2 linked regions of the Rattus norvegicus genome follow. The protein of the gene in region 1 interacts with the protein of each later gene in a biochemical or structural test. Links are inferred from orthologs where the notes say so. Each region holds a gene or a part of one and is shown in the gene's direction. Other genes may lie near its edges.

Evidence for each region.
Region 2: of the proteins of Coil (region 1) and Vrk1, one has a biochemical effect on the other in vitro, tested with the Homo sapiens proteins (2 studies listed by BioGRID and IntAct, with this or other methods). The link is inferred for Rattus norvegicus from reciprocal best matches to the Homo sapiens genes COIL and VRK1.

Annotation. Positions count from the first base shown.
Region 1 is NC_086028.1:74,282,643-74,293,470, forward strand, and holds the start of Coil (coilin), read left to right. Parts: upstream 1-4,209; coding exon 4,210-4,454; intron 4,455-10,828. UniProt on the Homo sapiens protein: Component of nuclear coiled bodies, also known as Cajal bodies or CBs, which are involved in the modification and assembly of nucleoplasmic snRNPs.
Region 2 is NC_086024.1:130,729,273-130,739,489, forward strand, and holds part of Vrk1 (serine/threonine-protein kinase VRK1), read left to right. Parts: intron 1-86; coding exon 87-207; intron 208-1,034; coding exon 1,035-1,093; intron 1,094-3,955; coding exon 3,956-4,134; intron 4,135-10,217. UniProt on the Homo sapiens protein: Serine/threonine kinase involved in the regulation of key cellular processes including the cell cycle, nuclear condensation, transcription regulation, and DNA damage response.

The DNA of each region.
Region 1 (10,828 bases):
CCTCTCAGTTCTGGAAGCCGTGTTAGACTTCCTATGTGTATAGATATTTGGCATTCAAAGATTTCTGATGGGGTTGAACACAGGTTGTCTTGTAGACAACCCAAGCTGTTTAGCATTGAAAAAGATAATAAATTTGAAAGGGTAGTTTTTCAGATAGCATATAATCTCAAACCAAGATATAAGTCAGGTTTGAAATTATAGTCTTTTAGGATAGATGACAAGGTGCTTTAGGATAAAATTGATGGACTGGGTGTTGAGTGTATGGTATGTTTTATAAATTGTAGAATGATATTTGTATTCAATTTATATGTAAGTGAAAAGGCCTTTTTTTTTTTTTATTGTATGAGTACACTGTAGCTGCCTTCAGACACACCAGAAGAGGGCATCAGATCTCATTACAGATGGTTGTGAGCCACCATGTGGTTGCTGGGATTTGAACTCAGGACCTCTGGAAGAGCAGTCGGTGCTCTTAACCACTGAGCCATCTCTCCAGCCCTGAAAAGGCCTTTTTAACTGGACCAAAAAAGGGGGAAATGTTGTGGTTTGCCCTAGGGTTATCTTTATTTTGATGCTAATTCTGCTGCCTCAAGGATGGCTGCCTAGTCACCTAACTCAGGACTCACATGACTTCACCAGAGCCTTCTCCGCATTTAATTTGTAAAATACAGATGAGGGCAGGTACAGGATAAAAGGAGACCTGTCATTGGATGAGAAGGAAGGATGGGCAGGAGAAGAGCTTGAAGGAAGAGGAGGAGATGGGAGAGAGAGAGTAGCTGGTAGACAACATGCAAGGTGATGTTAAGATTCCTCTCTGTGTATTTACAGGTTGTTATTAATGTTCTTAAGGGATGGATGATACTGGGCTTTGTATGTTTAGGTGGGCAGTTATATCTTATCAATTGGGTCAAAGGTTATTGTATTGTGTGTTCTTTCATGCATAGATTTAAGTGTAATGGAGTGTGGGGTGGCTGGTCTGGGCCACCAAAGAACTAGATAGGTAGAGAGATTGCTGGCTCAGAGAGAGGCCTTCAGCAGTGTGATATGGGATGGAGCAAAGCAGGTGAAGGCTTTGCTGACTGAGAAGATATCCAGCAGATAACTTGGGGCACTGCGGTGCCAGACCTAGAGTGGGATAAAAGACAGCGTTTTATTTTGTATATTTTCACAACAACAGGGAGTGAGTGAGAATACCCAGGAAGGGAAAGTCAGTGGCTGACAGGTTAAACCTATCTGGATGCCCTATTAGCATGGAGAAGAACTCCCATGCTGTGCTACAGATGGGTGCCCCTCCGGGTCCTCTGGGTTGAGTGTCCTGGTTTGTGGTCCAGAGCAGGGACAGAGACAATAGGAAATGGCCCTGCTCTGGCAGTTCTCAAATCTCAGATTCCCAGGGTCTGAGCTCCCTCAGCCTTACCAGTCCTCATGCCTGTCTGGTAGCACAGCCCCACATTCTCTATGCTCAATGTGTTCAAGGTCAGAGCAGCTTCAGTACATAAACCGACAATTCCAAATTCAGGAGAGACTAAGGAATATTTTGGAAAACTGCTATAAATAAAGGATCAGAGACCTGACTGAGCAGAAAATACAAATCAATGAAATTGAAATGGAAGGTTTAATAGTTGCAGGAGCAGATTAACAATAATTTCCCCAGGCTGGAGAGATGGCTCAGTGGTTAAGAGCACCGACTGCTCTTCCAGAGGTCCTGAGTTCAATTCCCAGCAACCACAAGGTGGCTCACAACCATCTGTAATGAGATCTGATGCCCTCTTCTGGTGTGTCTGAAGACAGCTACAGTGTACTCATAATAAATAAATCTTAAAAAAAAGAAAAACCAATAATTTCACCAAAATCTTGGCATCTAGATTGGCCTCTTCAGGAAATAATATTTAGCTCCTAAGGACTGAAACTTGATCTCAGCTAAAATAAAGTGCAAAATGGGTCAGGTGTATGGGGCCAGAAGGGGAACTAGGTAACTTAAAGCCATGTGTGGCTAATAGAGCCATGAATTTATGGGGACGTGATTTGTTGTGGCATCAGTGGAAAAGAGATGAACATTCCTCCAATCTCCATAAACAAACCACTGAAGTGGAAACTTCTAGATCCTTTGAAAAGTTAGTTATGTCAGATGGTGTTTTTCTGGGGACACAGGTGAAAGACTGTTTTCCTGAAGCAGGCATAGGCGAAAGGATGTTTTGCTATAGCTGACTTTTAAAGGACCCGTGATGGAGCATCAATATGATCCCACAGACAGTGGGAGATGAGCGCTGAGCATCTGTCTGGCTTGCTATGTAGTCTTTGCTAATGACAGGCGTGTATTGGTTTGTCTTACATAGAGTTTGCTGAGCTCAACTTCTGGTAACGCAGTCATTGAGAGAAACGGGCCCAAGAACTGCTTTTGAGGGCTGGAGAGATAGATGGCTCAGTGGTTGTGAGTCCTAACTGCTCTTTCAGAGGTCTGAGTTCAATTCCCAGCCGTGACATGTTGGCTCACAAACATCTTTAATGGAATCGGATGCCCTCTTCTGGTGTGACTGAGGACAGGGACAGGCTACTTATCAAAAAGAAATAAATCTGGAAAAAGAAAAAGTGTTCATTGGGTTTGGGGATTTAGCTTAGTGGTAGAGTGCTTGCCTAGCAAGCTCAAGGCCCTGGGTGTTCGGTCCTCAACTCTGGAAAAAAGAAAAAAAAAAAAAAGAAAAGAAAGAAAGAAAAAGTGTTCATGTGGTTCCTTGCAGCAGCTTCAACTTAACGCAGCCTTGCCTCTGGTGTCCCCAGAAAAACACCATCTGACATAACTAACTTTTCAAAGGATCTAGAAGTTTCACATCATTAATCTGGGAGACATCTCCCTGGCCCCAAAGCTCCTTGTTTTCAACAGGAGGAAAGACAAATCTGTGCTTTGGGGTTCTAGGATGCTAAAAACACGTCTCTCTCTCTTTTTTTTTTTTTCTTTTTTTTTCCGGAGCTGGGGACCGAACCCAGGGCCTTGCCCTTGCTAGGTAAGCGCTCTACCACTGAGCTAAATCCCCAACCCCTAAAACACGTCTCTTAAATTCAGTTTTATTCTATGTGCATTAATGTTTTGCCTGCAATTATATCCGTGTGAGGCCGTTGGATTCCCCTAGACCTGGAGTTAGACAGTTGCGAGCTGCCATGTGTGTGCTGGGAAGTGAATCTGCGTCTTCTGGAAGCGAAGCCCCTGCCCTTCACTCCTGAGCCATCTCTGTACCCAACTAAGATGCTTTAAAAACAAATCTATTTGTTTAATAGATAAATCTGTGTCCGTTTCTAGGTTTAATTATCGTATCACTAGTGGATGCCATTTTATATGTTATTTTGAGTAGCTGTGCACCACTAATAAGTGTAACGGTAACAAAGGGCTGGAGTGTAGCTGTGGGGTATTGCATTCTGAACCCAGGACTTTGTGCTTGCTAGGCAAGCACTCTACCATTGAGCTAAATCCCCAACCCCTAACATTAAATTTTTTAAAAAATCCTCTTAATTTATATCTTTGTGGTGGGGTTGGAGCCCAGGGTCAAGTGCATGCTAGGAAATCACTGTCAACTGTGTTATATTCCCACCTCAAGCTTCTTGATTTTTATTGCTTTCAAAGAACAAGCCTCGCTTTTAATCTTTTTTTTTTTAAGCTTCGTATTTATTTAGCTTTTTTATTCTCTACTTGTGCCTTCAACACTTTCAGGATATTGTTCTGCCTCAAGATAAGGAAAACACATGATCTGATCACGGACAAAGCACACACTGAACCCCCTGAAGCCCCAAGGAAGGACGTGTGTGTTTGTTTTAAACAGTCTTATGAGAACGTAAGGTCTTGTAGCACGAGCCTCTCATTTTCTGCCTGGACACACGCATGTGAATTTTGGTGCTTTCCTGACCTTTTTTGGTAGAAAAATAAAAATCCTCTATTACAGGGTTTGGGGTCAGGCTTGTTGCTTACTAATTTTAAAGATTTTTGGTTTGTTTCTGTTTAATTACACGAACCGATGTCCCAGAAGCTATCCTAACAGCCGTTTGCATATATTCAGACCTCATCATCAGTTCTGGGAAAGACTGGGGAGCTCGCACTGGGAGCCTGCAGACCTACTTGCGCCCCTAGGCGGCGCACGCTAGCTGCTGCCGGGGGCGGGCCTGCCCGAGCACGCCGCTTCGTAGCCCCGTGGAACCTCTCGGCTTCCGTTGAGCATGAGCAAGATGGCAGCCTCCGAGACGGTTAGGGTACGACTTCAATTTGACTACCCGCCGCCGGCCACTCCACACTGCACGGTCTTCTGGCTTCTAGTTGACCTGAACAGATGCCGAGTTGTCACAGATCTCATCAGTCTCATCCGCCAGCGCTTTGGCTTCAGTTCCGGGGCGCTCCTGGGCCTCTATCTGGAAGGGGGGCTTCTGCCCCCTTCCGAGAGCGCGCGCCTGGTGAGAGACAACGACTGCCTCAGGTGCGCGGGAGCGCGCGGGGCGGGAGGGGGCGCGGCTCGGGGGCGCGCTTGCTGGACCTTTGGATCAAGGAGCCGGGGTGGCGAGCTAGCTGCAGAAGGGCACGTGCGAGAGAGCCTGAGTGGTCCAGCCAGGGATGGAGCATCCTTCCCCAGGACGCTTCTCATTACAGGGGGACTAGACTTGGAGCAGTTCCGATGCTCAGCCAGGCTCTGCATGCTGTGTGCATGGTGCATGTGCCACAGACCCACCTTCTCTGGGCTGCACTTGGTGTCAGAGGTAGGAAACCAAAGCAGGCAGGAAGACAGAAATGTTTTCTTAGTAATGTATGGAATGTCCCACCTTAGCGCCTTGGCAACGTGTCCACTTCTGGTGGATGTCATTCTGTGTCTCATTCAGGTGTCACTGGGCCCCTTCGAGTTGGTATTGGAATGCATTTCAGTTGTGAATAGGGATACAGAGGCTGAGTGTGTATTTCAGTTGCTTGACTGCTTGCCTATTTCAAAGACTTAGGTTTGATTCCCAGCCGTCTAAATAGGAATCCGAGCACTGAGGAAGTGAAGACAGGCAGCAGGCTCAGAAGTTCAAAGTACCCTTGGCTACACAGGTCAACCTGGCATATGTGAGACCTGTTTAAAAAGGAACAAAAGTAAAAGCGGGGCAGTAGTGGTGCACACCTTTACTCTCAGAAGTCGGAGGCAGAGGCAGGAGGATCTCTGTGAGTTTGAGGCCAGTCTGGTCTGCAGAGTGAGTTCCGGAACAGCCAGGGCTACACAGAGAAACAAATTGGGGGGCAGGGTGAGGATATATACAACACGGTAGCATACACCTTCAATCCTAACTCTCAGGAGGCAGATGGCAGGCAGATCTCTGAATTTGAAGCCAGTCTCGTCTACACATAGTGAGGGCCAGGTAGAGAAACCCTGTCTCAAAACAACAAGAAATTTTAAAAGTTGACACTGAAGTGAGTATCCAGGAGTGGCTGTAGTGTGACTCGTTGGCAAGTGGCTTAGTTATGTCAGATGGCGGGATGATGCCATCAGTCATCCCAGTTGACATTCATACTTGGCTGATTTCATCTATGGCCCCTCCACCCCACCCAATCACTTTAAGCTTCAGCTATGGTGAATCAGATTCAGAATTATAAACCAGTCTGTTTCTTGCTCGTCTTTGTTTAATGTTGCTTTCTGTAGAGAGTGTCACGTTTGCAAGATTCCTTCAGAACATCAGGGAAATAAATAGAAACAATGACCACATCTTTGTATCTCTTAAATCAGGAATACTATGATTTGTTAGTCGTTCTGCTTCAGGTAACAACTTGAAATAGTACAAATTTCAAACCTCTCCTCCCCCCTTCTCTCTTCCCCTCCCCTCTTCTCCCCTCCCCTTCTTTCCCTTCCCTTCCCCTCCTCTCTCCCCTTTCATTTTTTGAGGCAAGTTCTCTCAGTGTAGACCAGGCTGGCCTTGAGCTATAGAGGTCTGCCTGCTTCTATCTCTAGACAGACCAAGGCTCATTTCCCTTTCTACTGACAGAAAGAAATCCATTCTCAGTGTACTTTAATGGCTATTTCAACAAGAGTAAGGGCTGTGTCACCACCTGTTAAGTTTACATCCTGAACAGTTCCCTGCCTAATGACTTAATTAGTTGCTGCTGGCTATAGTTAATGCTTAAATTAATGCATCACCCAGGAATTACATTCTTATAATGTTGCTAATGATGTTTAAAAAAAAAAACGTGAAAGCTGTCTGGAAAGAAGTTACCTCTGTGGGCCTGAGAAGGCCCACAGTAAGTGATGAGTGCTTTCCTAGCTACGGTGCCTAAGGCCCTGGATTCGGTCCAGGGTGATGAAGAGGTGGATTGCATCTAGCCCTGGTGGTAAATGGTGGAGACCATAGGAAAAGACTCCATGGGAAGGATGGTAAGATTGCTCAGTGGTTAAGAACACTGACTGCGGGGTTGGGGATTTAGCTCAGTGGTAGAGCACTTGCCTAGCAAGCACAAGGCCCTGGGTTCGGTCCCCAGCTCCGAAAAAAAAAAAAAAAGAAAAGAAAAAAAAAAAAGAACACTGACTGCTCTTTTGGATGACCCTGGTTCAGAGTTCAGGTCCCTCCTGATAGCTTACTATAGTCCCAGGGGGAATCTGATGCTCTCTTCTGGCCATCATGGGTACTGTACACAGACATACATGCAGTCAAAACAACTGTACCAAGGAAAAGAAATTATTTTAAGAAAATAAAACGAGCAACTAAATGTGAAAGTTTTTTTGATTCCTTTGTTTCTTCCTCCTTATAGTTTGTCCCCCCACCCCCACAGATTCATTGTATGTATATATGTCTACAACTTAAATGTGTGTGTGCACATAGCCTCGGGTGTGCAGGCCTGTGTGTAAATTTATGTGTGGAGGCCAGAGGTTGATGGCTTGTGCCTTTCTCACTCACCTTAGTTTTCTGAGATAGGGTCTCTCACTGAACCTGGAGCTAGGTTAGGCTGGCCTGGCTAGCAAGCTCCAAGGGTCTGTATTGCTGTCTGTCTCTACTTTCCCAGTGCTAGGATTACAGATACACATCAGCACACTAGGGCTCCAAAGCTAGGTTCTCGCGCTTGCCCAGCAAGCACTCTATTGATGGAGGCACTGAGAAAAGCAATACTTAGTTCTGTTTATTTTTAATAGTTGTCAGGGAAGGGTGGGGGCTCATAGACCCTTCTCACATCCCAGTGAACTGTTGAGAGGCCTAGTCCTATGTAGGTCCTCTGCAGATAGCCACTCCCGAAGGCGAGTCCATAAGTGCAGTGGCTGTGTCAGCTCTTGTATTATTCCCTTCCCTCTTCTCTCTGATGTTCCCTGAGCCTGGGAGTGGGCGATGGGTCACGTTTATGTGTCATCCCTGTACAGGAACCACGTGAATCTTCTCGGTGTCACCGTGGTTTTAGCAGACATTTCACCGGATGAGCATGTTAGTTTCCTGAGTCAGAGCTAAGCTCACCTTCTCACCATGCAAGGATGGAGGAGTGAGCATGGTGGACCATGGACCATGGCTAGTGACATATTGAGGAGGAGGCTGAGGTTCAGCAGTCCAGAGCTCTGCCTGTTCTGTAGGGGACTTGAGTTTGGATCCTAGCACCCACACACAGTGATTCACAACCACCTTTATGTTCAGCTCTAGGGGATCCTACAGTCTCTTCTGTTCCCACAGGTGTCTCTCTCTCTCTCTCTCTCTCTCTCACACACACACACACACACACACACACACACACACACCCTTCTTCATTGCTGGCAAAGAAGTAGAGTCATCAGGCAGTGGTGGCACACACCTTTGATCCCAGTACTCAGGAGGCAGAAGCAAGTAAATTTCTGATCTCCAGGCCAACCTGGTCTACATAGTGAGTTCCAGGACAGCCAGGACTACACAGAGAAACCCTGTCTAGAAACAAAACAAAACAAAACACAAAAACATACAAATAAGCAGAGTCATGGGAAGCAGAGTCACAGCAGCCTGGGCGAAGAAGGCTCTCAAAATCAAGTTGCCCTAATTCACTCAGTCTCGGGACCTCAGTGGGAAGCTCACCCGGAAACACTTTAGAAAAGCCAGGGGCACAGCATCTGAACTCAGGGCCCCATAGTCTTGCCAGGTTGACATAATGTAAGCATCACAAACCGTCATGGACCCTATGGGTAGGTGCAACAATTGAGAGCCCGAACAGGAATAGGAAGGCATTTTAGTTTATTATTTTAAGTGCTTTATTAGCATACAGTTATACATATTTGTCAGTACAGTCTGTCATTTCAGGATGGAATGTATCAGATCAGAATTGATTGGCATATCTGTCTCCTCATACTGGTTTTTTATTTGGGGACATTGAAAGCCCTGTCTCAGACTCACCTTTAATCTTAGCACTTGGGTAGCAGACACAGGTAGATCTGTGAGTCAAGCCAGCCAAAGCTACTAGTGTCTTCCAAAGAAGGAAGGAGAAAGAAAGGAAGGAGAAGAGGAAGGAAGGAAGAAAGAAAGAGAGAGAAAACCCTCTCTTGAAGCTCTCTGAGGACAGTTAATTATACTGTCCACCACTGGAGCATTAGAGTCTAGTCTTTCTATCAGAGTGTACAGGAGTGTCTTTCCCCCCACAACCATAGCTTCTGATAACTACTATTCTACTTCCTACTTCTTTGTGATCCTTTATTTTTTTTAAAGATTTATTCATTTATTCTATATAAGTACACTGTAGCTGTCTTCAGACACACCAGAAGAGGGCATCAGATCTCTTTACAGATGGTTGTGAGCCACCATGTGGTTGCTGGGAATTGAACTCAGGACCTCTGGAAGACTAGTCGGGTGCTCTTAACCCCTGAGCCACTTCTCCAGCCCCGTGATCCTTTATTTTTAAGTCTTCATGGAAGTGAACATGTGTGGCATTTGTCTCCCTGTAGCATGCTGCCCTCCAGTTGCCTCCATACTAAGGGAAATTATGTCCCATCTTTACAGCCAAGTAGTATTCCATTATGTATACGTGTAGCACATTTTCCTTACCTAATACTCAGATTCATTGTGTGCTTTTACTCATTCTTTTTTTTTTTTAATTTTTTTTTTATTAACTTGAGTATTTCTTATTTACATTTCGAGTGTTATTCCCTTTCCCGGTTTCCGGGCCAACATCCCCCTAACCCCTCCCCCTCCCCTTCTTTATGAGTGTTCCCCTCCCCATCCTCCCCCCATTGCCGCCCTCCCCACAACAATCACGTTCACTGGGGGCTCAGTCTTAGCAGGACCAAGGGCTTCCCCTTCCACTGGTGCCCTTACTAGGCTATTCATTGCTACCTATGAGGTCAGAGTCCAGGGTCAGTCCATGTATAGTCTTTGGGTAGTGGCTTAGTCCCTGGAAGCTCTGGTTGCTTGGCATTGTTGTTCATATGAGGTCTCGAGCCCCTTCAAGCTCTTCCAGTCCTTTCTCTGATTCCTTCAACGGGGGTCCCGTTCTCAGTTCAGTGATTTAATGATGGCATTCGCCTATGTATTTGCTGTATTCTGGCTGTGTCTCTCAGGAGAGATCTACATCAGGCTCCTGTCGGCCTTCACTTCTTTGCTTCATCCATCTTGTCTAATTGGGTGGCTGTATATGTATGGGCCACATGTGGGGCAGGCTCTGAATGGGTGTTCCTTCTGTCTCTGTTTTAATCTTTGCCTCTCTATTCCCTGCCAAGGGTATTCTTGTTCCCCTTTTAAAGAAGGAGTGAAGCATTCACATTTTGATCATCCGTCTTGAGTTTCTTTTTTTTTTTTGGTTCTTTTTTTTTTTCGGAGCTGGGGATCGAACCCAGGGCCTTGCGCTTCCTAGGCAAACGCTCTACCACTGAGCTAAATCCCCAACCCCCCGTCTTGAGTTTCATGTGTTCTATGCATCTAGGGTAATTCAAGCATTTGGGCTAATAGCCACTTATCAATGAGTGCATACCATGTGTGTTTTTCTGTGATTGGGTTACCTCACTCAGGATGATATTTTCCAGTTCCAACCATTTGCCTGTGAATTTCATAAAGGCATTGTTTTTGATAGCTGAGTAATATTCCATTGTGTAGATGTACCACATTTTCTGTATCCATTCCTCTGTTGAAGGGCATCTGGGTTCTTTCCAGCTTCTGGCTATTATAAATAAGGCTGCTATGAACATAGTGGAGCACGTGTCTTTTTTATATGTTGGGGCATCTTTTGGGTATATGCCCAAGAGAGGTATAACTGGATTCTCGGGTAGTTCAATGTCCAATTTTCTGAGGAACCTCCAGACTGATTTCCAGAATGGTTGTACCAGTCTGCAATCCCACCAACAATGGAGGAGTGTTCCTCTTTCTCCACATCCTCGCCAGCATTTGCTGTCACCTGAGTTTTTGATCTTAGCCATTCTCACTGGTGTGAGGTGAAATCTCAGGGTTGTTTTGATTTGCATTTCCCTTATGACTAAAGATGTTGAACGCTTCTTTAGGTGTTTCTCAGCCATTCAGCATTCCTCAGTTGTGAATTCTTTGTTTAGCTCTGAACCCCCTTTTTTTTTTGGTTCTTTTTTTCGGAGCTGGGGACCGAACCCCAGGGCCTTGCGCTTCCTAGGCAAGCGCTCTACCACTGAGCTAAATCCCCAACCCCTGAACCCCATTTTTTAATAAGGTTGCTTTTACTCATTCTAACACAAGATGGGGTGGTGAATATGTTCACCTTTTAGGATGACTAACACGCATATTAAGACAATTGGGAGTTGGGTTGGGGATTTAGCTCAGTGGTAGAGCCCTTGCCTAGGAAGCGCAAGGCCCTGGGGTTCGGTCCCCAGCTCCAAAAAAAAAGAAAGGAAAAAAAAAAAAAAAGAAGATTGGGAGTTAAGAAAATGGGGCACGA
Region 2 (10,217 bases), on another chromosome or scaffold:
GGACGTTTCTGACCTGAGGGGACTGCTCTATCTTGATGTTTTTCTGGAAAGCTCTTTCACTGTGCTTTCTCCTGTTCTCTTTGCAGCCCCATCTCGACGTGGTGATTTGGAAATACTTGGTTACTGCATGATCCAGTGGCTCAGCGGCTGTCTTCCTTGGGAGGATAACTTGAAAGACCCCAACTACGTCAGACAGTCCAAAATTAGGCAAGGAACAACTTACATTGTTTTGGGTTGAGTGGTGATGGGACAAAAGATTTTTTTAAACATTTTTTTGTGAATTTTAATCATGCACCCCAATCCTACTAATCTCTCCTTCCCCTCATACCCACCTTCCACCCATGGCCCCTCAACAGAGAAAACAATCTTGTGGAAGCTGTAGTGTGTCATAATGTGTGCCACATTGTACCCCTTTGTCTACACTCATTTGCTGCAAATGGGAGGCCTCTGACTTCTCAATTCTGGACCCTCACTGGGATTCTTCTGGGGTATCCTGTTGCTTCTTGTGTCATGGAGATCATCTAGTTTTCAATCTGTAGGACCGGCCCGCCTGTGGGTGTGCTGATTCAAAGCCCTAGATCTGGGCTGCTACCAGGGCCACCTCTACCCTGCTGCCCAGGAGAGATGCGGGGCCCACTCTACTGAGTGTTGCAGCCAGTGAGGGACAGGGCCAGTTCTCCCACTCTCATGATCCCGGGGCCAGCTCTCCTGCCTGCCATGTGGTGAGAGAGGCACAGACAGGGTTTTGTTAGCATTTCTTGATAGTGTCTCTAGAGTTTTATTCTCTATATTATGTTTTGTTTTATTTTATTTTGTTTTATTTTATTTTATTTCATAGGCAGTGCCTTGTTGAGTAGTCCTCCTGCCCGGGTTAGCACACCTGGAAGTGATGTAAGTTAGAAGGTGCAGGTTAGATAGCATGTCTGTTTGAACTTTGCTGTTCCCCTAAGACGCACTGCCTCCTGAGATGTGTCCTATTATTGAAGGCTCTTGGGGACCACAACATAACTAAGGACTCCTTCCTTCCTCTGCAGATACAGAGACAATGTCGCAGCTTTGATGGAGAAATGCTTTCCTGAGAGGAATAAGCCAGGTAAGGAAGGCTTCCGTAGTCCTTTGTATGGTTTTTGTTTTCTGCGAGGAAAAAGCCTTCAGCCTGTGTGTGAGTTTGGGTGTTTCAGGACTGCTGCTGTTGGAGGTGCAGTGCACTCAGAGCTTTATGCAGTTGCCCTTGGCTTTCACTTAGGCAGTGTCTATGGAGGTTGTATTATGCACCGGCCGGAGTACTGTCTGTGCAGGCTGCACCAGACCCCTCCCTCAGGGTGTATCAGGGATTTTTGTTAGCACATTATACTGTAGATCTGTGCAGAGTAAGAAAATAGGAAAATAGAGTTGGGAATGTGGAGAAGGCACAGGGAGCAGGGGGAGAATGTAAATGTTGATCAGAGAGGCCAAGGACAGCCTTGCTAAGGGGCTACTGTAGCAGCTGAAGGAAGGCGGTAATGAAGCGAGCTGTGTGGAGACTGGGAGGACGATCTCAGAGGGAGTTGGGGTGAGCTCGTTTTGGTTATCGTGAGGCCATTGGCTTTTACTTTTAGAGTCTACAGCTTGAAATAGGAGAAGGATGCCAATGGCCTCCCCTTCTAGAGACATGAAGTGTGTCTGGTTCCTGGTTGAGGGAAGACTGCCGAGGGCTGAAGTGGGGAAGCACATGGCAATGTGCTCTTCTGTCACCATCCATCCTGGCCCCAATCCTGGCCCCAGGACCCCCAGACTCCTGCTGTGTGTCTGTGTGGCGCCTGCTTTCCAGTGTCCATTACTCACATACTCTGCTGCTCGTCTAGACCTTGCCCTCCGCACAGCGCCAGCTTCCCACAGGCTGCCAGAGCTCACGTGCACTGTGTGAGAAGGGCTCAGTCAGCTGACCTGGCATCATCTCCTCAAGACTTTGACCAGCAGTGTCCAGAGCCTCAAGTCCTTGAGTGTTGCTGGTTTTAATCCCAACTTGGTCTTTTTTTTTTTTTTTTCTTTTTAAACTAAAGAATTTTTTAAAACTTATGTGTGGGGTGTTTTTCCTGCATGTATGTCTATACCCCACATGTGTGCCTAGTTCCTACAGAAGCCAGTAGAGGGTGTTTGGTCCCCTGGAACAGGAGTTTCAGATGGTTGTGAGTCACTTCGTGGGTGTTGGTTGGAGCCCACATCCGTGGGGAAGTAGCCAGGGCTCCTACTGCTGTGCCTCTCCCCAGCTCTGACCTGGTTCCTCACTGCGTTCCTGTTGGAGCTCTAGTGCCGTTATGTCAGCTTCACACTCTCTCTCATGTGTGCTGGGCTCTGAGCTTAGAGTGCTTTGTGTTTGAGTTCTGAGAGCCACTGCCTTTGCAATACCGAATCCTCCAGCACACTGTGGCAATTCTTCCATTAAATCCCTCCTTAAATTCTGGTTGTATTTTGGTCTCTGCAGAAATTTTGCACAGTCACATTGGGTAATTGATGCTTTTTTTATGTTAACTGCTCTGGTTTGAACATTTCATTTCTAGTTTTTAACAGAATCTAAAAATAAGGCAGATCTTTATGTATTTACCCTCTGTTCTGTTTACCCTGTGTTCTGTGCTGTGCCGTAGCTATATACTAGCTTTAGCAGCTTTGTAGGCTCCGTAGGAATTTGCTCTGCTGTCCCCTCCCCCCTCTCCCTTTCCCCTCCCTCCCTCCCTCCCTCCTTCCCTCCCTCCCAGTACTTGATTTTTCCGTGTAGCCCTAGCTGGCCTTGAACTTGTGCTCTTCCTACCTGAGCTTCCTAAAAGCTAGGAGTATATGTCTGGTTACCAAGACCATTTTGTGAGACAAGTGCAGCTGAGCTGTTTGCTCCTTAAGGCGCTTTGATGCCCTTGCCTTGCTGTCTTGCCTTCTGTACAGCTGAAACATACTTGGCTGCTCTGTTCTGTGTAGATGGAGGCAAAGGTGGATGCTGTTCTCTCCTGTAAAGCAGGAACTTTGTTCTTTTTGTCAGACACACTGATATTTGTTCCATATTTTTTATATATTCTTATATTTTTTAAAAGAATTTTATTATTTTTGTATGCTTCATAACTTTATGCAGTATGTTTTGATCATATTGTCTTGGGTATTTTAGATTCCATTTTATCCAGTTAAGATAGTGGATGTTTGGCAATTCAACACCCCTCTTCCCCCAACCTCCCCACCAACTGTTCAGGATAGTGCCTGGGCACACTGTGGCACTTAAATAGTTAAGCTAGTGCTTACATGTGTGTCTGTGATGGGTCCTGCCTGGGGAGAGAACATTCTGCGCTGGATGTGGAGTGGGAGGAAGACTGATGAGATGCTGGCCTGGCCTGGGAGGAGGAGGGCAGCATTTTCAGTGACAGACCAGGGAGACTCCCAGCACAGGAGTTGGGTGGGGTCTGAGGCAATGGTTGCATGTCAGGGAACTAATGATGGGAGAACAGTGGATGCTCCATCAAGGTGGATGCTTGTAAGTGGGGCCGGTCCTGTCAGTAAAGTTTCTTCTCATGTTCTGTGGACCTGTCTTGCTGTTCTTGAGTCTGCTCTCCGGGTTCTGTTTCTCACTTCATAGCATGTTCTCTTTCAAGACTGCTAACTTATGGTGTCATTGCAACTCAGGTGTACTACATTCTGAATTCCTTTTATATATACATTTTGTGTGTGTCCAAATTTAATTTATGTTCTCTTATGTCTCTTAGGGTTGCAGAAAAGTCTTTTACATTGTAACTCAAAATATGTTGTTTACTTTACTTACCTAAAGTCCCGGACTTGCGGGCATGCTTTGCATTGAGCTCTGAATGAGAGCCCGGATTCTATTTCAACATGGTACACACTGGTAGTTCTGTGTTGGCTGTGACTGTCTTCTTAGGAGTGAGACGGGCATAGCGGGTTCATGACCTAATGTAGTAAAATGACCATGTTGTTATTTTAGGTGAGATCGCTAAGTACATGGAGACTGTGAAACTACTGGACTACACTGAAAAGCCGCTTTACCAAAACCTACGTGACATCCTTCTGCAAGGACTAAAAGCTATAGGAAGTAAGGATGACGGCAAACTGGATTTTAGTGCTGTGGAGAACGGAAGTGTGAACACAAAACCAGCTTCAAAGGTGGGTCTGGGTGTGGAAGGAAGGACGCTGCTTTGGGTCTCCTTGACCCCACCTAACAGGCAGTACACGTAGGCGAGGCCTTAGCTGGGCAAAGAGGCAGGAGCAGGTTAGTCAGTATCTGAAATGGCCTCACCTGTGACCTGAGGTCAGATGTCTCGGTAGGGCAATGACACTTCTGCCATTGGCATTGTCCTAGGTGGGCCACTGTAGAGGGGGTGTCTTCTTTTCAAAGATGTTTTAAATGTACAGTCCAACACTCTACCCACACTCTTACTACCTGGCCAGTACTTTTTCTTTTTTCCTTTTTGCTTTGTGGGGACAGGGTTTCTCTCAGGCTGGCCTCACACTCAGAGCTCCACCTGCCTCTGCCTCCAGACTGGGAGTAAAGGTGCTCACCACTACCATGTGCTGGCTCTCTTGTTCTGATTGGGGATCACTGCTGAAGAGTTGCAGAGAAGTATTCCTAGTGTAGTGAGGCTCGGAACAGGACACCTCCCTTCCTGAGTGGGGCTCTGTGCTTCCTGGGTCCTGCTTCAGCAGCTGTTTCTAAATGCTTATCTGGGCCCATTTCTTCAGGTTTTAGATCTCTCAGAAGTCCCCAACCTGATTTTCTGACACAATTTGACTCGTTTGTGTGTGAACACTTAGAGTCTGTATCCATTATCCCACAAGAGGAGAGAATGTCTCCGTTCCTTAGCCCACCTCTCAAGTTGTTAAGAGGGCAGCTGTCCTCTTGTTTCTCTGTGTGCTGTGTTCTTAGTGGTTAGCGCTCCCTAGCCTTGCATTTCTCTTCCTACTTTTTATTGTTTCTGTGTCCTTTCTCTTGGACTCATCTTTTAGAGTATGAGCTCAGTTCCTTTTTTTTTTTTTTTTTTTTGAGGAGAGCTATAAATGGTAGTTATAAATGGTAGAGCTCACAAATGGTGTTATTTGCTTCACTGAAAGAGTGATTTGGTCGAAGTCACTGCTGAGCTGTCCCTCAGCTTCCAGTTTGGGTAATTTTGTTTGTTACCTGATTTCTGGGTTTCCCCCTACATTTGAGGCCTCTTGCTTTTCATTCTACCCCTGCATTCTGCTTTTCATCACAGAATGTGAGAGAGAGTGTGTGTTGTTTGTTTAGTTTAAACTTCATATCTGCTTGGTGCTTAGTGAACCCTGCCTGAAGACATGACACCCATTCTGGAACTTGAAGTTAGTCTTTGTAAGCACACAGGTGCTTCCTCCTCATCTCCCCTCAGGGTCTTTGCTGAGAAACTGGAATCAGCTTCTCTTTCCTTCTCTGACACAGCATAGCAGTTCTTTTTGCCCGTCTAACTCTATTCATGACACTGATCTATGTGCTTAATAACTCACCTCCCTCATTGTGACTTCTCTTTCACAGTTTAGAGGAATTGGTGACTTTCTTTGGGTCTCTTAATCTGTTTTCATTACTAAGTTAGTTTTCAGCACCGTAATATATGCACACAGTGCATGCTGACCGCTCTTCTCTCCTTGCTTCTTCATTCCTCCAGGCGACTCTCTCACCTTTGTGCCATATGTTCTGGGATGCACTAAGTTTAGTCAGGGCGGTCTGGGTGGCCATAGGTCTGCGGCTGTGGATTGGAGCCTGGTGGGATCAGCAGGGACACAGCTGAGGACAGTGACTCCCCTTCTCCCAAGACAGTAGATGAGCAGGAATGGATGGGTAAGGCCCAAGAGCCTGCCTCCCATCTGTGACTTACTGAAGCCAGGGAGTTTCTTCTTGTTTTCCTGGCATGGTCGCTCTTACGTCTGTGTGTAGAGGTTGCTGTTTTATCACAGCTCTGAGCACGGGCATTGTGTGTGCATGAGTTTAGTGTCTCCCTGCCCCACCCCATAGTTCTCCTTAGGTTCTGCTCCTCACTCCAGTTGGAACGCTATTACCTGCTCACTGGTTCCATACAGTGCCTGTCACCAGAGATGTGAGAGCTTGGGGGCCACATGGGGACTTCTGGTGTCATGACTTCTCCACTTCTTCTGTCTGGTCTGGAGGTCCTTTTAATGGAATACCTCAGGTCATGTAATGCAGAATTTCAAGATTGTCCTGGTACTGACTGGTGTTGGATTACCTCAGAACTCTGGCGCTTTCCTGCTGTGGACTGCACTGCTCACACCAGCTACACCAGTGTAAACCATGGGGCGGGCCTCAGCCTCAGGTGCATGGGCTTCTGAGGTGCTTCTGCCATGCAGCTGCGGGTGAGGCCTACTGTGCATCAGAGGCGGGGGTCTGACTAGATCCGTGGAGATGGGAGCCTGTTTAGAAGTAAGCCTATCCAGTATTCAGTATTGAGCATTTGGGGTTTTAAGTAGACGTTTTGGCTCCACAACCAGTTTTTGTATGTGCCAGTGAGGCACACACACCCTGTTTGATCTTCATGTTCAGGAAGGCACAGGAGACCATTTGGTGCAGTGTCAGTGCCTGAGCTCTTAGAGAATTGATCTGTGGAAGCAACACAAGGGCGTCTTCTCAGATGTCCTCAGTCAGTGAACTCAGTGGTCTTTAATCATGGCCAAGGTTTAGGATGCTCAGCATGCCTTTGCATTGATAAGGGATGAATTTAAAAACACATTCTCTGTGGAAATAATAGTGCATTCTTCCTTGCTTATAAGCTTGTCTGTCACAAGACAAAATGGAGCCTGGATGCTGAGCACCGTCGTAACACATGCAAGCATCAGAGTGAGGGCGGTATCGGTGCTGTGTGCCTACGCGTAACTCTCCTGCTCCCTTCCTTCAGAAAACAGCAGTGTTTTCATTCCGTTCTCTTGCCACCGTCTTAAGAACTGAGCTGCCAGCCTTGAAGTTGAGTTCAGCTTTTGGCTATTGGATAGATAAAGATGAAGCCTGGTTTAGATTTTACTGACGAGTGCATATGTGATAGATTTCAAATGGTCCTGGTTTGCTAAACGCTGATTTGCAGCAAAAGACAAGATGATAATTGGTATGAAATAATCTATACAACATAATGTATGTTAAAACATATGTATCACATATACACCACAGCAATGAGTTTGTGGTACATTTTCCTTTGAATCTGTTGATTGGTATGGGTGCAGGACTCCTGGTTTCTATGTCTGCTGTTTGTGTGTTTAGTGAGTTGGGGTTTTGTGGGCCAAGGGAACTGTTTTTACTAGTAATTCTAAAGTGGCTTATGTGTTTTGTAAGGAACTGTCCTCACGGGGTTGGGGATTTGGCTCAGTGGTAGAGCGCTTGCCTAGCAAGCACAAGGCCCTGGGTCCCCAGCTCTGAAAAAAAGAAAAGGAAAAAAAAAAAGGAACTGTCCTCACAAGGCCTGGGGTGGTTCCTACCACCATATGGAAGGGAAAGGTTTGGTTTTACTGATCTTCAGGGAGAAAGACTTCTAAAGTGTGACCATGTTATCACATCTGCAGTGGGTGCCTCAGGGTTTTCTTCTTCCTTGAGGGTTCAGAGGACTTGATACTGCTGGTAAGTAACCCTTCAAGGTTCAGGCTATCCCTTCTGCTTCAGAAGCACCTTACAGAGCCACCTTCTATCCGCTTTCAGGTGGACATTGTGGCATCCACATGAGACACTTTGTTACACTGAAAGTCAGGCTGACAGCTCTGAAGTGAGGGTTCCTTCCCCTGGCCTTGCAAACCAATGACCTGAGCTCGATCTTCGGTATCCATGTAATTGTGAAGTAGAGTGCCAGCTCCAGTATTATTGGCCTCCTCTTGTTTTCTGTCCACACATGTACCCACACATGTACCCACACAGGTACCCACACATGTACCCACATATCCATCCACCCAACCCTGCAAATGATGACGCGTGCGTGCGTGCGTGCATGCGTGTGTGTGTGTGTGTGTGTGTGTGTGTGTGTGTGTGTGTGTGTGCGCAGGTAGGGAGTCTCAAAAAAGGGCAAACTGATTTGCCTAGGGTCTTGCAACTACCATTCTATAGCTATAATGTAGTTTTCCTCAGAGAAGCTCATGGCACTTAAAGGAAATCTCCTAGTGATTTTACAGATAATTAAGGTATAACTCATTGCCTGTTTTGCCTTTTCCCTTGAATCGTCCATAAAGCATGTTAAGTTTTTGATGTTAGTGCTGCAAGAGTGTCCTCCGAGGAGAGTATCCCGTTAGTTCCAGCATGGTAGAGAATGCAGACTTAACTTCTAGAGCTAAGGTCTCTGACTCTAGAAGCATCTTGAGTTTAACTGTTGTCAAGTCTGCTCATTGTGCTGAAACTTGTCCTGGAGAGCCTTCTCTGCAGGGTAGCGTGTGCTGTCCTCAAACGTGCTGTCCTCAGACATGCTGTCCTCACATGGGCACCTGGAGCTTTCTGGGTCTGAGTTGCTGCTTTACTAGGAAACTCGTGCAGCTGGGGTGCCTATAGGCTCTGGCTAGGGGTTTCTGCTCATCTGTTGACTAACTGATCTTTTCATAAATGCCAGGAGGGCCTCTAACAGCTCCTTCTCTGGGCCCTTGAGGGGCTGAGCCAAAGGGACACAGCTATGCTCCAGAACAAGCCGTGGATGGTACAGGTGGAGCCTGCTCTGTGCTGTGCATACTTTGTGGACTGGGGTGCTTTCTGGTGCAGTTAGGAAAGGGCAAGACTGAGCCCCCACCCTGGACAAGCGTAGGTCAGAGGGAGAGGGATGTGAAAGTGGCTATAACGCGCACACGCACTTGTCCCGCTTCTGCTACATGCTGCAGTGGGTAAGCTCCTTGTCCCCGGGCAACAACCACAGAGTGCGCACTCTCTTTGGCTTTCCTGTATCTCTCCACTGTTTCCACGCAGTGCATTTTAACTGAGTCTGCTGGTCTGCAGGTTCTGTGGCACCCCGCGTTTGTGTCCCTGTGCCATTCTCCCCCAGTTACTTCTAGTCATCTCGTCTATGAGCTGTGCCATTCTCCCCCAGTTACTTCTAGTCATCTGTGAGCTGTGCCATTCTCCCCCAGTTACTTCTAGTCATCTGTGAGCTGTGCCATTCTCCCCAGTTACTTCTAGTTGTCTGTGTCCCTGTGCCATTCTCCCCCAGTTACTTCTAGTCATCTATGTCCCTGTGCCATTCTCCCCCAGTTACTTCTAGTCGTCTTCGAACTGCGCATTTGTTCGGTGACCTTACTGGACTCTGACTCATCGAGTTGGCATGTGTGTTTGTGCCTGCAGGTCAACACCAAGCCTGGGAAGTTTAGGCGTTTTGTTTTTACAGTGACACGTCTGATGGCTGCAGTGAGGGGCAGGGCACCCCAGGGCATCGCCTGCGTGGTTGATGATGGCCATGGTCTGGGGCTATTTCTTAGGCCTGGTCTCCTGCCATGATCTCAGGCTTGACTTGAGCAAGGAGCTGGTCTCTGGTTTTGCCTCTGAAGATTTTTGTTGTCTTTCTGTTGAAGCAGCTTTATTGGTCTCCAGTCAGTGTTTAGACTATTAGTAAATTTTCAGTCCAAATGTATCCAGCTGATTTCTCTTCCTGTTTCTAAATTGGAAGTGAGAAGCAGCTAATTAACTAAATTTTAACCTAGCATATCTGAACACTTTAATAATATAATGTGTAGTATATTACTAATGACCTTTGAAATAAGCCCATTTTTCAAGACTTTTTCTGTGTTGAATTAAAAGCAAACTCTGTCCCACATGTATTTTGTTAAGTTGCCCCTGTGTGTCATATAGTATCTTGGTTTCATTTATAAATGCAAATGAATGTACCTGTGAGACATGGTGTAGACTGTCGCAGAATCAGAGATTGGCCCAACCTCTTGGGAAGTGTTTCATTTCAAAGGGAGCCCATATTTCCTACCCCAAGTCTAAGGACTGATTGAGGCTTAGAAGAAGCCTCAGCAGTTTGCTGTTGGGGATTTTTGTGTGCCGCTGTATGACCCAAGTTAAACTGGGCAGGCTTAGACCACGGGCCCTTTCTACCCAGACTGCACGTGCTATCAGAAAGTTGGGTGGGAGCTGGAGGGGGGATGAATGTGACCCACCACTGTCCCCAATACACAGGTGTTCCTTTCCTTGCCTGAATGCTGTCTGATTTTCATTCCTTGTAATTCACCTGTATGGAGATTAAGAAAGCTTACTTTTTAAATACACTTCAAAA